2 linked regions of the Macaca mulatta genome follow. The protein of the gene in region 1 interacts with the protein of each later gene in a biochemical or structural test. Links are inferred from orthologs where the notes say so. Each region holds a gene or a part of one and is shown in the gene's direction. Other genes may lie near its edges.

The links. The genes of interacting proteins can lie anywhere in the genome.
Region 2: the proteins of BCL2L2 (region 1) and BIK interact in a biophysical measurement, tested with the Homo sapiens proteins (2 studies listed by BioGRID and IntAct, with this or other methods). The link is inferred for Macaca mulatta from reciprocal best matches to the Homo sapiens genes BCL2L2 and BIK.

What each region holds. Positions count from the first base shown.
Region 1 is NC_133412.1:96,404,727-96,411,779, forward strand, and holds the start of BCL2L2 (bcl-2-like protein 2), read left to right. Parts: upstream 1-2,641; 5' UTR 2,642-2,875; intron 2,876-2,990; 5' UTR 2,991-3,078; intron 3,079-3,559; 5' UTR 3,560-3,567; coding exon 3,568-3,999; intron 4,000-4,618; coding exon 4,619-4,768; 3' UTR 4,769-7,053. UniProt on the Homo sapiens protein: Promotes cell survival. Blocks dexamethasone-induced apoptosis. Mediates survival of postmitotic Sertoli cells by suppressing death-promoting activity of BAX.
Region 2 is NC_133415.1:8,364,658-8,372,063, reverse strand, and holds the start of BIK (bcl-2-interacting killer), read left to right. Parts: upstream 1-3,028; 5' UTR 3,029-3,130; intron 3,131-3,196; exon of another isoform or gene 3,197-4,511; intron 4,512-6,929; exon of another isoform or gene 6,930-7,069; intron 7,070-7,312; exon of another isoform or gene 7,313-7,406.

The sequences.
Region 1 (7,053 bases):
AACTATCAGATGAATAGAGACTATTATGCCTAGTTTAAAGATGAGAAAATTGAGGTAGGGGAGAGGACTCTTGCCCAGGGTTACATAGTTAATAATTGGGGAGGTGGGATCAGGACCTAAACAGTTTAGCTCTAGAGTCCACGCTCTTATCCACTTGGTTATATAAGATTAAAACATTTAACAATAATAGGTAACATTCTCAGAGTGTTAAAAGAGGGAATCTTAGGGTAGAAATGAAGTCTCTAAATTTAAAGCAGCAGGATAGTTTAACTGTAAAACCACAAGTGACTAAGTTGAAAATAAACCATAAGACACATGTTATCTTATTATTATACAACTCATTCCTGTTTACATGTATTCACACTAGTATTGACTGCAGCAATACTACTTAGCTAGGACTCATTTTTAAAGCAATATTGACTTTTTTATTTTATACATATATAGAATGCATGGATGTATTCTCTTCATATCATTATATATGATACAAAATATACAATGTATATATTGTATATATACACAATATAATATGTATATTATATATATGAATTAATGTATAATAAATCATACGTTACTTTGTATTACAAGCAAGCTGACCCAGGAGTTTGAGATCAGCCTGGGCAACATAATGAGATCCCCATCTCTATAAAAAATGAATTTAGCTAAGCATAGTGCAGCACACCTCTAGTCCCAGCTACTGGGGACACTGAGGTAGGAAGATTGCCTGAGCCTAGATGGTGGAAGCTGAAGTCAACACTGATTGTACCACTGCACTCCAGTTTAGGCCGTGGAGTGAGACCCCTGTCTCACAAACAAACAAACAAACCAGGAGTGCAAATGAAGACTTGGAGTAGGTTATTCTCTAAAGGGGGCAAGCTTGCTGGTGGCAGCCAGAATGATCAGGCTAAGAACAAAAAAGAAATAAGATTGGCTGAAAGGATACAGCCATAAAGGAGTGTAATAGGCTGTGTGTTTAGAATAGAGGAGAGAATTGAGTGTGGACATGTAAATGGTGTGGATTCAGACTATGAAAACAGTATTGACTATGCGAAGGCAAGAAGTGATCTTGAAGCAATAGTGTCAAAGTTACAGCATGAGATGGGAGTCCTAGCTTCTTGCATATCAGTATATGTCTTTGGGCAAATCACTTAACCTCTCCAAACCTCAATTTCCTCATTCATAGAATGAGGATAAAACAGCATAAGGATTAGTGACAGGATAAAATATACATGTAAAAAAAGCACAGCATCTAATAACTCCTCAAAATATGTTTTTACTTTTTTTTTTTTTTTGAGATAGAGTCTCGTTCTATCACCCAGTCTGGAGTGCAGTGGCATGATCTCAGCCTCCTGGTTTCAAGCGATTCTCATGCCTCAGCCTCCTGAGCAGCTGGGATTACAGGCTGGCTAATTTTTGTATTTTTAGTAGAGATGCGGTTTTGCCATGTTGGTCAGGCTGGTCTCAAACTCCTGGCCTCAAGTGATCCACCCGCCTTGGCCTCCGAAAGTGTTGGGATTACAGGTGTGAGCCACCAAACCCAGCTAGTTGTTACTATTATTGCTGCAGAAAAGACCTTACTTCTCAAGTGACCATAAGGGCAGATGGTAATACAGAGGCTTGGTTTGGAGGTAGAAGCAAAGGGTACTAGCAGAAGAGGAGAACTGGGTCGCCTCTTTCTGGCCTTTGGTTGGGTTGCTTTTTAAATGGAGCTGAAGAAAGTGCCAGATCCAAGAGCCCAGGGGGCTGGCTGTGAGTGCTCTCATGTGGATCAGCTGTGGTCAGATTGCTTCACACCTGTGACCCGCCCTGTATAAATATACTGCCATGTATAAATAATGGCCCCATGTATATGTAATCTGGAAGGATAAACATCAAGCTTAACAATGGCAACCTGCAGGGAGGGAAGTGGAATTGGGTGTGTATGTGTGTGTGTGTTTGAGAACCTGTATTTTATTACTCCATACCTCTTTATTGTTTGATTTTTTTCACAATGAGAATTAGTTCCTGTGTTGGGTAAAAAAAAAAGAAAAGAAAGAAAGAAAAAAAACCACTAAAATCAATCTGATTACAAAAGAAGATGAATTAAAGAAAAGTACCGGAAGAAACTGCTTGTGATCCAAGTCCTGGCTCCTTGATGCCTGGCTGAAGCCCAGCCCACAAAGACAACACTGGGTTAAAGGTCCTGGAGAAAAGATGGGAAAGGTTTGGTGTCTGTGTAGTGTCTGCTAGTCCCAAAAGGGTAAGGCACCTAGTAGACGGTTCCCAGCTTAATGGGAACTGCTCCTGTTTTCCAGGCACACAATTCAGGGCTGGAAAAGTTCAACAAGTGCATGGAACATCGGAAACCTCCTGGAAATGCTAAATTTGCCCCAAGATGTCCTGAAGTCCGGCATATTTCTCTGGGCAGCCTCGAGGCTCAGGAGCCCAGCCCAGCCCAGCCCACCGTGCCCTCTCAGGCAGCCCTTCACTGCCTTCAGCAGCCCTCCCTCTTCCTGAGTAGTGGCCCTTCGCAGGCCTGCGTCCCAGCCCCGCCCCTCTCTCTGGACGCATCTTTGGGCCCCATCATCACCCGGCGCCGGGCCCTCCCTCTGCCCCCCCTTTCTCCTCCCTCCTTCCTTCCCTCCCTTCCTCCCTCTCTCCCTCCCTCCCAGCTCCTGCACCAGGAAACGGCCCGGATCCCGGCAGCGGCCTGACCCGTGAGATCCCTAACCTGGCAGGCGGGCGGGGTTGGAGACTGGCTGAGGTGGGGGTAAGGGAGGAGTTGGGCCTTTGGGCTGCACTAGGGGGAACCGCGAATACAGATGGTGTCGGCAGGAAGCCCTTGGCCCTGGGTTTCCCGGGAGGACAGTCATTAAACATGGATTCGGCCACACAGCTGGTAGAGCGTTGGGGGCAGGGGCCCAGGCCCAGAGCTGCAACCCTAGCCGTTCCCAGGCCAGAACCTGATCCCTGGCCTTCCCCTCCTGGTTCTGATCTCCCCCTCCCCTTTCCAGAGCTCCACGCTGGCCGGGAGGATGAAAGGCCCCAGCTGGGGGCTCCTTGCCACCAGTGCTGTGTCTTAAGAGCTGCCATCCCGGCTGGGTGAGTGTCTCCTTCCTTTCTCTGTCTGGAGTAAACCATTGCGTCTCCCACCTTTCTCTTCGGCCCATCTGCTCCCCCTCATCTTGTGCCTCTGCCAACATCTTTATATCTTGCATTTGGGGAGGTCCTAAGCCCCTTCCTCTAGCCAAGGAGGTGTGGACTAAGGAGGCCCAGGGGTGGGAGGGTTGTAGGGGTGTCACAGAGCTGACGTTGTCTTATTATGAAAAGAATCTAAAGTATCTCTAAACAGAAAATGTACTTGTTTTAAATGTAATTTGGCATATTAGGAATGTAATGGCCAGCCCCTCACAGCCTGGTCTCATATCATGACTTAATTCCCTTGTTCTTGCCTCTCCCTGTCCAGTGAGCTCTGAGCATTTCTTCTCTCCTCCTCATCTCACTGGGTTGGTCAAACCAGAAATGCCCCTTCTGATTCTCTCTCCATATATTCATGCCAGTGTTTCATCCTTGCCTCTTATAGCTGCCCGGATGGCGACCCCAGCCTCGGCCCCAGACACACGGGCTCTGGTGGCAGACTTTGTAGGTTATAAGCTGAGGCAGAAGGGTTATGTCTGTGGAGCTGGCCCCGGGGAGGGCCCAGCAGCTGACCCGCTGCACCAAGCCATGCGGGCAGCTGGAGATGAGTTCGAGACCCGCTTCCGGCGCACCTTCTCTGATCTGGCGGCTCAGCTGCATGTGACCCCAGGCTCAGCACAGCAACGCTTCACCCAGGTCTCCGATGAACTTTTCCAAGGGGGCCCCAACTGGGGCCGCCTTGTAGCCTTCTTTGTCTTTGGGGCTGCACTGTGTGCTGAGAGTGTCAACAAGGAGATGGAACCACTGGTGGGACAAGTGCAGGAGTGGATGGTGGCCTACCTGGAGACGCGGCTGGCTGACTGGATCCACAGCAGTGGGGGCTGGGTAAGAAGCTTCTCAATTGCCGCTCTGCACATCCCTCTGCAAAGCTGGTTTCCAGGGGGAAGATGGGAGCTCTGATTGGAGACTGAGGCAGCTATGTTGGGAATGAGGTGCGGGGCTGAGTCTCCCCGTCTGGGTGGAATCAGATTGAGAGATGCCTGGACTCTGCACTCCAGGGCTGCCATGCAGTCAACACTGGATGGGCTCATGGTCCCAAGCAGAGGACAGAATCCACACCCAAGGAGTGCCTGCAGGGGAATGTTGTCAGGGACTTTTTGCACCTGAGTCATGGTGTGGGAGGTGGGGAGGACCAGGGATGGGTGGTGGTCAGGCAAGCCTTGGCAAAGGATGCTAGTTCTGAGCAGAATTTTTCGCCAAGGAAAGGATGGAATTCACTGGAGGCAGAGTGGGCGGCAAATGAACCAGTCTCTCAGGGTGGGGGTGCACCTGGGGGGATCAGAGGGGCTTGCAGCCAGAAGAGCTTTGACCAGAGAGGAGCTGGGTATGGGGTAGTGTTGGCAGTGGATGGAACTGGAACTCTTCCTCTCCTCTTCTGTCCACTCTTTCCTCTCCTGATATCCCTTTCTCCTTCTTTCTCTCCTACTTCCCTTCTCTCCCACAGGCGGAGTTCACAGCTCTATACGGGGACGGGGCCCTGGAGGAGGCGCGGCGTCTGCGGGAGGGGAACTGGGCATCAGTGAGGACAGTGCTGACGGGGGCCGTGGCACTGGGGGCCCTGGTAACTGTAGGGGCCTTTTTTGCTAGCAAGTGAAAGTCCAGGGCCAGGTGGGGCTAGGTGTGGCTGGGGGCCAGGAGAGCAGGAACAGAACAGAGAAATGCCCTTGGAAGAAATGGAGTTGGTGGATGGGTGGGCATGGAACAGGATGGGCAGGGGAAGGGTAGTGTGTGAGGCAGCTGAGTAGGCCAGGTAGGCGATTGGAAGAGTGAGCAGGACACATAGGTGAGGGAAATGTTTTGGCAAGTTTAGGGACGCAGGAGATGGAGTCGATCCAGGGCTGGGGGATGTGGGAGGGATCACACCTATAGGTGTGGGCACATGAAATGACCTGGAACTTGGTTTGCAGCCCTGAGGAAGGTGGACTTGCATAAGCAGTTGTATTCCATTAGATGAGTGGGATTTGGGGAACGCAGAAGGCACATCCTTTTGGAATGGAAGCTTGGGGGTTCTCAGGTGATAGGGAGAGGTGGCTGTAACAGTGGGCTGCTTGGACACACGTGTGCATGTGCACGCATGCTGGTGTGCATGCTGGGCTGCCTGGCAAATCTGGTGGTGGTGGGATTCCTCAAGGAGAAAACATTCCCTCTTGCAATGGCAAGAACTAGGGGCAGTTCTCTGTCCCTCCTCCCAACCCCTCCTTTCCCCTGCCCTTGTCCTGATGCCTCAAGGCTTAGAGAGAAACATTGTATCCAGACCGAGGGCTCTGCTGCTTCTCTCCAGAAAGTAATTGGCAAGGCTTTGAAGAGAAGAGCAGTTCTGCAGCTGGCCTTGTTCCTTCATCATCCCCCTTCCTTGTGCATCATGCACTTGCTGCTGCCTCCCGGGCTCTGATAGAAGGGCAGGGCTGTTGAGCCTGGATGGGTGGAGGCTTAGGTAGCTGGACCTGCCTGCCACCCTCCTCTCCCACTCAGGCACAATGGTGCCTAAAGTGTTTCCAATCTCTGGGACCTCTGTACCCAAACTGAAACTCTAAATTGGGGCCCTAACTAATTTTCCTTTCGAGGTTGTGGACATAAGTGCTGATCTTGAGTACAGTCTGGGTCCCACACTGTGTCTCAGTGAGACTGTTGATGCCTTGAGAGGACCATTTCAGCCCTGAATCCCATGGGTGTGAGGGTGATGGGCACTCCAGGACTGGCCTATGCTGTGTTGTGGGCTTTGGTTCGGCTTTATCAGGGGCCAGGCATATGGGTTCTAGAGTACCTACCATGACCTAGAAGCATTTATGATTTGAAGCCACACTGTTTGCATGGGTGTTACTTGTCTGTACCTCAGAGTCTGAGGATGTTAACTTTGGAACTCGCAGTCCTCTAGAACAGCTTCAGATTATGGCTTTTTCTTTTGAGGAAGAAATTATTCTCTCCAGTTGCATGCCCTGAGCCAGACCTCACTGCTGCACTTTCCAAGGTGCTAAGATTGCTGCTCTCCAATGCTAACTTTCTGACACAGTGCTCTAGAACCCTGCCTGTGGTCCTGAGCACTGATCAGCTTAGCTAGACCATGGTTGACTCTTCTTGGAGATTTTCACTTGGTCCTAGAATGTGGCAACGTAGTTGTGCTCGCTAGAATGTGGGACCAAATTGGCCTCAGGTGTTTAGTCCAGACTTCTGCTTTTGAGAGAGGGCTGCACTTTTTAATGGTATTTCTAGGGGAGGTGGTAGGCTGCATGTGCCACTTGGTCTTGTGAGTATGCTGACACCAGAAACTCAGAGCCAGCTTGTGGCAAGCAGTTGGGGTGGGGGGTCTCTGACTTGCTCAGGACAAACTAGGCCAGTGGTTTTCAAACTGCTTGGCAGAGCCCTGAAGTTTCCTAGGGGTTGCCTCAGGAGTCCTTGGGGAGATGAAGGGGGTGGGGAGTTGAGCAGGCTGGGCAATTTGCCCTCAAACTGAACAGCTCTCCTTGTAGCTGTCTTACATATCGGGGTTCAGGGTAAGATTTTATTTGCATTAGGGGTTTGCTGCTGAAAAAATGTTGGAAAACCACTGACTAGACCATCGGCTCCAAATTGGAACCTGTGCTTCCTTCCCCAGGTTTGGAGCACACTCTTCACCCTACCCTCTACCACAGGACGCATATCCCTGTTAGCATTCCCCGGGACCTTTAGCCAAGAGGGGCTGCAGGGACCATGGCCAGGTTACCGAAATGCCCTGCTCTGAAGTCTTGACACCTGGGTGGAAAGAGAGGCTGTTTTCTGAAAGGGTAAAGGGCTTGGTCTGGATTCCCAGAAACAGAGCTTAGATGGGACCACAGTGGGCAATTTTGACCTGTCCTGCCCTTCTTAGCTTGAAGGGAAACCCCAGAGACTCTTCTGTCAGGG
Region 2 (7,406 bases), on another chromosome or scaffold:
ATTATTTATTTATTTTGAGATGGAGTCTCTCTCTGTAGCCCAGGATGCAGTGCAGTGGCACGATCTTGGCTCACTGTAACCTCTGCCTCCCAAGTTCAAGCAATTTTCCTGTCTCAGCCTCCCAAGTAGCTGGGATTACAGGTGCCTGCCACCATGCCTGGCTAATCTTATATATATATAAATTTTTTTTTCATTATTATACTTTATGTTCTAGGGTACATGTGCACAACGTGCAGGTTTGTTACATATGTATACATGTGCCATGTTGGTGTGCTGCACCCACTAACTTGTCATTTACATTAGATATATCTCCTAATGCTATCCCTTCCCCCTTCCCCCACCCAATGACAGGCCCCAGTGTATGATGTTCCCCACCCTGTGTCCAAATGTTCTAATTGTTAAATTCCCACCTATGAGTGAGAACATGCAGTGTTTGGTTTTCTATTCTTGCGATAGTTTGCTGAGAATGATGGTTTCCAGCTGCATCCATGTCCCTACAAAGGACACGAACTCATCCTTTTTTATGGCTGCATAGTATTCCATGGTGTCTATGAGCCACATTTTCTTAATCCAGTCTGTCATTGATGGACATTTGGGTTGGTTCCAAGTCTTTGCTATTGTGAATAGTGGCCTGGCTAATTTTTGAATTTTTTTTTTTCCTTGAGATAGAGTTTCACTCTTGTTGCCCAGGCTGGAGTGCAATGGCGCAATCTCGGCTCACGGCAATCTCTGCCTCCCGGGTTCAAGTGATTCTCCTGCTACAGCCTCCCTAGTAGCTGGGATTACAGGCGTGCGCCACCACGCCCAGCTACTTTTGTATTTTTGGTAGAGACAAGGTTTCTCCATGTTGGTTAGGCATGTTGGTCATGTCTCGAACTCCTGATCTCCATGTTGGTCAGGTCTCGAACTCCTGACCTCAGATGATCCGCCTGCCTCGGCCTCCCAAAGCGCTGGGATTACAGGTGCGAGCCACTGCGCCTGGCCGAGTTTTTAAATTTCTAATAGAGACAGGGTTTCGTCATGTTGGCCAGGCTGGTCTTGAACACCTGACCTCAGGTGATCCACCTGCCTTGGCCTCACAAAGTGCTGGGGTTATAGGCATGAGCCACCACCTCCAGCTATCTCTTCCTCCTATGGATCAGCATATTATCTTGGGATTTTGCAAAGTAAATAAGTACTGTATTTTCACCCACTCCACCCTTGAATCATCCAAAGTGTCCCCAAACGGTCCTTCTTTCTCCATCTGTTCCACTAATGTTTACTGAACATCTCCTACATGCCTGGCACTGTGCCTCCAGTCTCAAGACCCCTCTGCAAGCATCTCACTCATATCAGGTCTTCTGGACCCATGAGACCCCGTGTCATTGCTTTACCACCCTGAGTCTCTGTTTCTTCATCTGCAAAATGCATTCAGAGGGAAGCCCCCATTATGAAGGGTTCCCCACTTCTGACTGTAGCCACAGTCAGGGCAAGCTGCTTTGTAGGGGTTGGAGTTTATGTAGTTGGGAGGCCCTAGAAGAAAAGACTGTTACAGGGCTGGGCGTGGTGGCTCACACCTGTAATCCCAGCACTTTGGGAGGCCAAGGCCGTTGGATTACCCGAGGTCAGGAGTTCCAGACCAGCATGGCCAACATGGCGAAACCCTTTCTCTACTAAAAATACAAAAATTAGCCGGGCATGGTGGCTCATGCCTGTAATCCCAGCTGCTAGGGGGTGTTAAGGCAGGAGGATTGCTTGAACCTGGGAGACGGAGGAAAGTTAGGAGGTTGCAGTGAGCCGAGATTGTGCTACTGCACTCCAGCCTGGGCAACAGGGTGATATTCCATCTCAAAAAACAAACCAACCAACAACAACAACAACAACAACAACAAACTACAAAAGCAAAGAAGGTCCAAGGCCCAGAAGGAGGGAGGGGCTCTGAAGACTTTATCAGGCTTTACCTCCTCTGGTCCTCCCAACAGCCCAGCTCTTGGTAGGTGCTGTTGTCCATTTCACAGATGAGAACACTGAGGGGGAAGTAATTACCCTACAGGTGGGAAGAACAGAGTGAGGGTACCCAACAGGTAGCAAACGACAGAGCTGGGGGAGGGGAGCCCCTGCCCCTCCCCTGCCCCTCCCTTGCCCCTCCCATGCCCCTCCCTTGCCCCTCCCCTAATCTCTGAGGGGATCAAGACAGAGGTAAACAAGCTTTGCTGTGCGCAGGACAATTGTTACTTTGTTATTCCAAGAGCGCTCTGCCTTCTCCCACCCCCAATATACCCCAGTGCCGCTGTTAGGCACTACTCATCCCCGCGGGGCAGGCTGCCACCAGCCCACCCCGCCTGGAACCTTCCTGATTTCTCTGTCCCTCGCGGGGGCTTTGGGGTCCTTCTCACCAGGTCTGCACGTGGGCCCCCTGCCCCCAATCCCTCCCGTTCCGACCTGCCTCTCGCGGACCCGGAGCCCCGACGGGAGGGGGAAGGCAGGGGGTGGGTGCTGCAGCTGGAAGGCTGCGGACGGGCGGCAGTGGAGGGGCAGTCCCCCTGGCTTCGGGTATGGAGCACTGGATGCTGCTGCTACCCAAGTGTGAACCTCGGTTTTCATATTCGTGAAATAGGCTTAAAAACACCTAAGTCCCGAAGCTGCCAGCCTAAGGAGCACGTTTTTGAACGCTGGCTTCACGCTGTCATTTAGCAAGTCATTTCGTCCTCTTGGAGCCTCGGTGGGTAAAATGATCGTGAAAAAAAGCACCGAGGAGTACTTTGAGCTCGAAGGGAGGCCATCTGTGTAAAGGGCTTGGATTATACACCCAGATTCTGTCAATGGATCGATCTCGACTGCAAGCCCGTGCTGGGCGCAGGGGAAACAGCGACGCACGGGACAAAACAAGCTTGCAGAACCGCAGGGGGCAGAGAGGCTGTAAACAAGCCAACCGGCTGCACTTGTAGCGGTTCTGTTGCCAATGCCATTCAGACCCCAGTCCGGGATTCCGCGCTCGGGGTGCGAGAGGCCGCTCCCGGGGCGGGGCGGGACCCGGGCGGGGCGGGAGGGGCGGGGCGCCCGGACCTATTAGGTCCCGCGCCGGCAGCCGGGCAGTAGACACGAAGCTTCTCCGGTGGCTCACAGACGCTGCCAGCATCGCCGCCGCCAGGTGAGTGCCCCTGACCCTGCTGCCGCCCGCCGCTCCACCCAGCTCGAGCCCGGCGGTTAGCGCCCAGGCCGCGGCCCGGGTGCCGAGCGGCTGGAAGTGTGGGGACCCGTGCCCAGGTTTTTCCGCCCCAGCAAGTCGCTGGCGAGTCCCTTGTGGGGCGACGTCTCGGGACTCCGGCTCCGAAACATCCCCTTTCTGCCCAGGGCTCCAGGTCCCCGACGGCCGATCGTGCCAGGCGCGGCCCCTGCGGGCCTCAGTCTCCGCGCCTGTGCAATGGGGTGGTTCCTCTGCGTCTCACCGCTATGGCCGGACGCTCCATCGCCCTCGCACCATCCTCGAGGGCGGCTTCCGGGCACCGGACTCCGACCTCTGGGGTCGTGCGGACCCGGCCAGAGCGCAGCGCGGCACCGCCAGCCCACGGCCGCTGCCGCACAGCCCCGGTGCCCTTAAAAGAGGGAAGATGGCGTCGTGCCCGGTGCTGCTGGGACCGGCTCCCAGAGGCGCTGTGCACCTAAGGGCCGAGGAAATGCTTCGTAACGGGACGCCCAGAAAGTCCGGAACAGGAACGTGCACCCGGAGCGGCGCGCAGCCGCCCGCCCACACCTGCCCATGCGCCCTGCACAGGTGCGCCCCGGACTGGTCGCGGGGACTAGAGCCCGGCTGGGGCGTGCGACCTTGTTAGGTAAATTGGGGGTGCGCCCCTGCGGGTGACCCGAGAGGGGTCCCCCCGCCTGCGGGGCGCGGTCACGACAAGGCTTGTGGGGTTCGGAGCTGGTCGTCGTCTGGGCTCTGGCCTCCTAAATGCGATCGCTTTCAAGCCCCTTCATTGTCAGTTTTACAGAATGAGCCACTCGTGGGGTAGGACGTGGTTGTTGATGTTGTTGTTGCTCTTACTACTGTAACATTTTTGTTGCTGTTTTAACGCAGTGTTTACTGTGGCCTGGGAGCCCGAGCTTCCCAGGGAGGTTGGTGTCTGCCTCATGTCCCCACATTAGGAGGGGCAGAGTCTGGTGGGCACTAGCGCCGGGAAGTTATTAACATCTGTCCGTCCTTGGGAGCAGGAGGCCTCGTTATCCAGGTGGAGAAACAAGAGATTTCAGTCACAGGAGGCACAGAAATGCCAGGGTTGTCTAGCTGGAAGCCAAGGACCCTTTATGGAACCCAAGCCAAAACCTCTTTACACTCTCCAGCCCTGTGGCCTCCGAAGGGCTATTCCATCTCTCTGAACCTCAGTTCCTTCTGTTCATTCTGCAAAATGTATTTCTGAGGTTTCTGCCCAGATGAAGAAAGCCCGACTCAAGTTAGTAGCCTCCGTGTAGTTAAGACTTACCCTGATTTCTACTTAATTTGGGCATGTCTTTGGAATAAGTTCTCAGAAATGGCACAGTCTGGGTGTTTTTTTGTTTTGTTTTGTTTTGTTTTTTGAAACAAGAGCTTTGCTTTTGTTGCCCAGGCTGGAGTGCAGGGGCGTGATCTCGGCTCACTGCAACCTCCACTTCCTGGGTTCAAGCCATTCTCCTGCCTTAGCCTCCCTAGTAGCTGGGATTACAGGCGCCCACCACGACACCCAGCTAATTTTTTGTATTTTTAGTAGAGACGGGATTTCACCATGTTGGCCAAGGTAGTCTCGAACTCCTCCTGACCTCAGGCGATCCACCCGCCTCAGCCTCCCAAAGTGCTGGGATTACAGATGTGGCCCCATGCCCGGCCCTTTTATTATTATTACTATTATTATTATTATCATTATTGTCTTAAGGATATTAAGACTAAAATTCTCACACATTTGACACGTGCCTGTAATCCTAGCACTTTGGGAGGCTGAGGCAGGAGGATTGCTTGAGCTCAGTAGATTGAGACCAGACTGGGTAACATGGTGAAACCCTGTCTCTACCAAAAAAAGCAAAAAATTAACTGGGCATGGTGGCATGTGCCTCTGTTCCTAGCTACCCAGGAGGCTGAGTTCAGAGGACTACCTGAGCTTGGAGGGGTTAAGGCTGCAGTGAGCCCTGATCACACCACTGCACTCTAGCCGGGGAGACAGAGTGAGACCCTGTCTCAAAAAAAGGAGCATTAGGCTGGGCATGGTGGCTGACATCTGTAATCCTAGCACTTTGGGAGGCCGAGGGAGGTGGATCACCTGAGGTCAGGAGTTGTGCAACTAGCCTGGCCAACATGGCAAAATCAGTCTGTTTTAAAAATGCAAAAATTAGCCAGGCGTGTTGGAGTATGCCTGTAATCCCAGCTACTTGGGAGACTGAGGCAGGAGAACTGCTTGACCCTGGGAGGCGGAGGTTGCACTGAGCTGAGATCATACCACTGCACTCCAGCCTGGGCCACAGAGTGAGACTCTCTGTCAAAGGAAAAAAAAAGCATCAAATGGTAGATCCCCAGTGTCTGTTACAGCTCAGGTACTCTATGGCTAGATAGAGGGGCTGCATACATGTTAGTTATTGTAAGTTTTTTTTTTATTTGAGACGGAGTTTCACTCTTGTTGCCCAGGCTGGAGTGCAATGGCTGGGAATACATGCGTGAGCCACCTCGCCTGGCTCAAGTTTCTTACACATTTGACTTGCCTGTAATCACAGCACTTTGGGAGGCCAAGGCGGGAGGACTGCTTGAACCCAGGAGGTGGAGATTGCAGTGAGCAGAGATGGCACCACTCACTGCACTCAGCCTGGGCTAACATGAGACTCCATCTCAGAAAAAAAAAAAAAATGATATCTTGTGCCACAGAGCTGCAAAGAAACCAGAGACTACTAAGAACAGTGTACTTTTTTTTTTTTTTTTCCCAATTTCTGATCCCGTCTCAAATAAACGGAAGGAGGTAATTGAGGAAGGGCTTGATTGGCCAGTGAGTCTTGAAGCTGACACCACTGCTGGTGGTATTTTCGCCTCTCCCTGGAAAGCATCCTGTTTTTAGTGAACCTATTAAATGTGTAGACAATTGATGGCTTTTTGCTTCCCCTGCTGCAGACTTGGTGGATCCCATGAGATTTTGACTGCCGTCTGTGCTCAGAACAGTTTGAGCAGTACGGAGGAAGTCTCCGCACCAGTCTTTTTTTTTTTTTTTGAGACGGAGTCTCGCTCTGTCACCCAGGCTGGAGTGCAGTGGCGCAATCTCGGCTCACTGCAAGCTCCGCCTCCCGGGTTCACGCCATTCTCCTGCCTCAGCCTCCCGAGTAGCTGGGACTACAGGCGCCCGCCCCTGCGCCCGGCTAATTTTTTCTATTTTTAGTAGAGACGGGGTTTCACCATGGTCTCGATCTCCTGACCTTGTGATCCGCCCACCTCGGCCTCCCAAAGTGCTGGGATTACAAGCGTGAGCCACCACGCCCGGCCTCCGCACCAGTCTTACTGTTGCTGGTCACCAGGAAGCCAGCAGTGTGTCTGAACTGGACACATGTGATCACTTCCTAGCCTCCCTTTGTCCTGCCACTGGTTGGTTGGGGCTGGTCCCTGGTAGAAACATAGAATGTGAGCAAATCAGTGGCCGGCCCCTAAGTTCCTTGTTGGCCCTGAGGCAGGCAGGAGAGGGGCGGGCACAAAGGGCAGCTGATTTTCCTAGTGTCAATATTAGGATGTGACAATACAAAACACCACTGGGCCTCGCCAGGCCCTGCGTAGTAAACCTGTTTTTCTGGGGGTGGGAGAGAACTTGGCACCTAGTTACCCAGACTGAAAAGCCGTGCAGCAAACAGAGAAAAGCTCACTTGTTTATTTGAGTGAGGGTCCCTGTCGTTTTGGATATTTAAGATCAAGTATTCTTGACACCCCCCTCCATCCCCAAGATGGCGTCTTGCTCTGTCGCCCAGGCTGGAGTGCAGTGGCGTGATCTCGGCTCACTGCAACCTCTGCCTCCCGGGTTCAGGTGATCCTCCTGCCTCAGCCTCCTGAGTAGCTGGGATTACAGGCACGTGCCACCATGGCAGGCTAATTTTTGTATTTTTAATAGAGATGGGGTTTCACAGTGTTGGCCAGGTTGGTCTCGAACTTCTGACCTTGTGATCTGCATGTATACCCTGCATGCAGCGTTTCACCTCCTTCTCAGGGCTACATCTGCCCATGGGGCTCTCCCTCCTGTCCTTTAACAGAAGGTGATACTGTCTAGTCCAGGGTCTCCCAGCCAGGAACAGCCTGCCGTCGTGAGCCGAGCGCTTGATTAACCCCTTTCCTCATCCTCAGGATTTTGCAGTGAACTCTCAAGCCTTTCTCTGGCTGTCCGCATCCTCTCACCTGCTTTCACTGGGTCCTTGCTCTGTGCTGGGGCCGTGCAGGT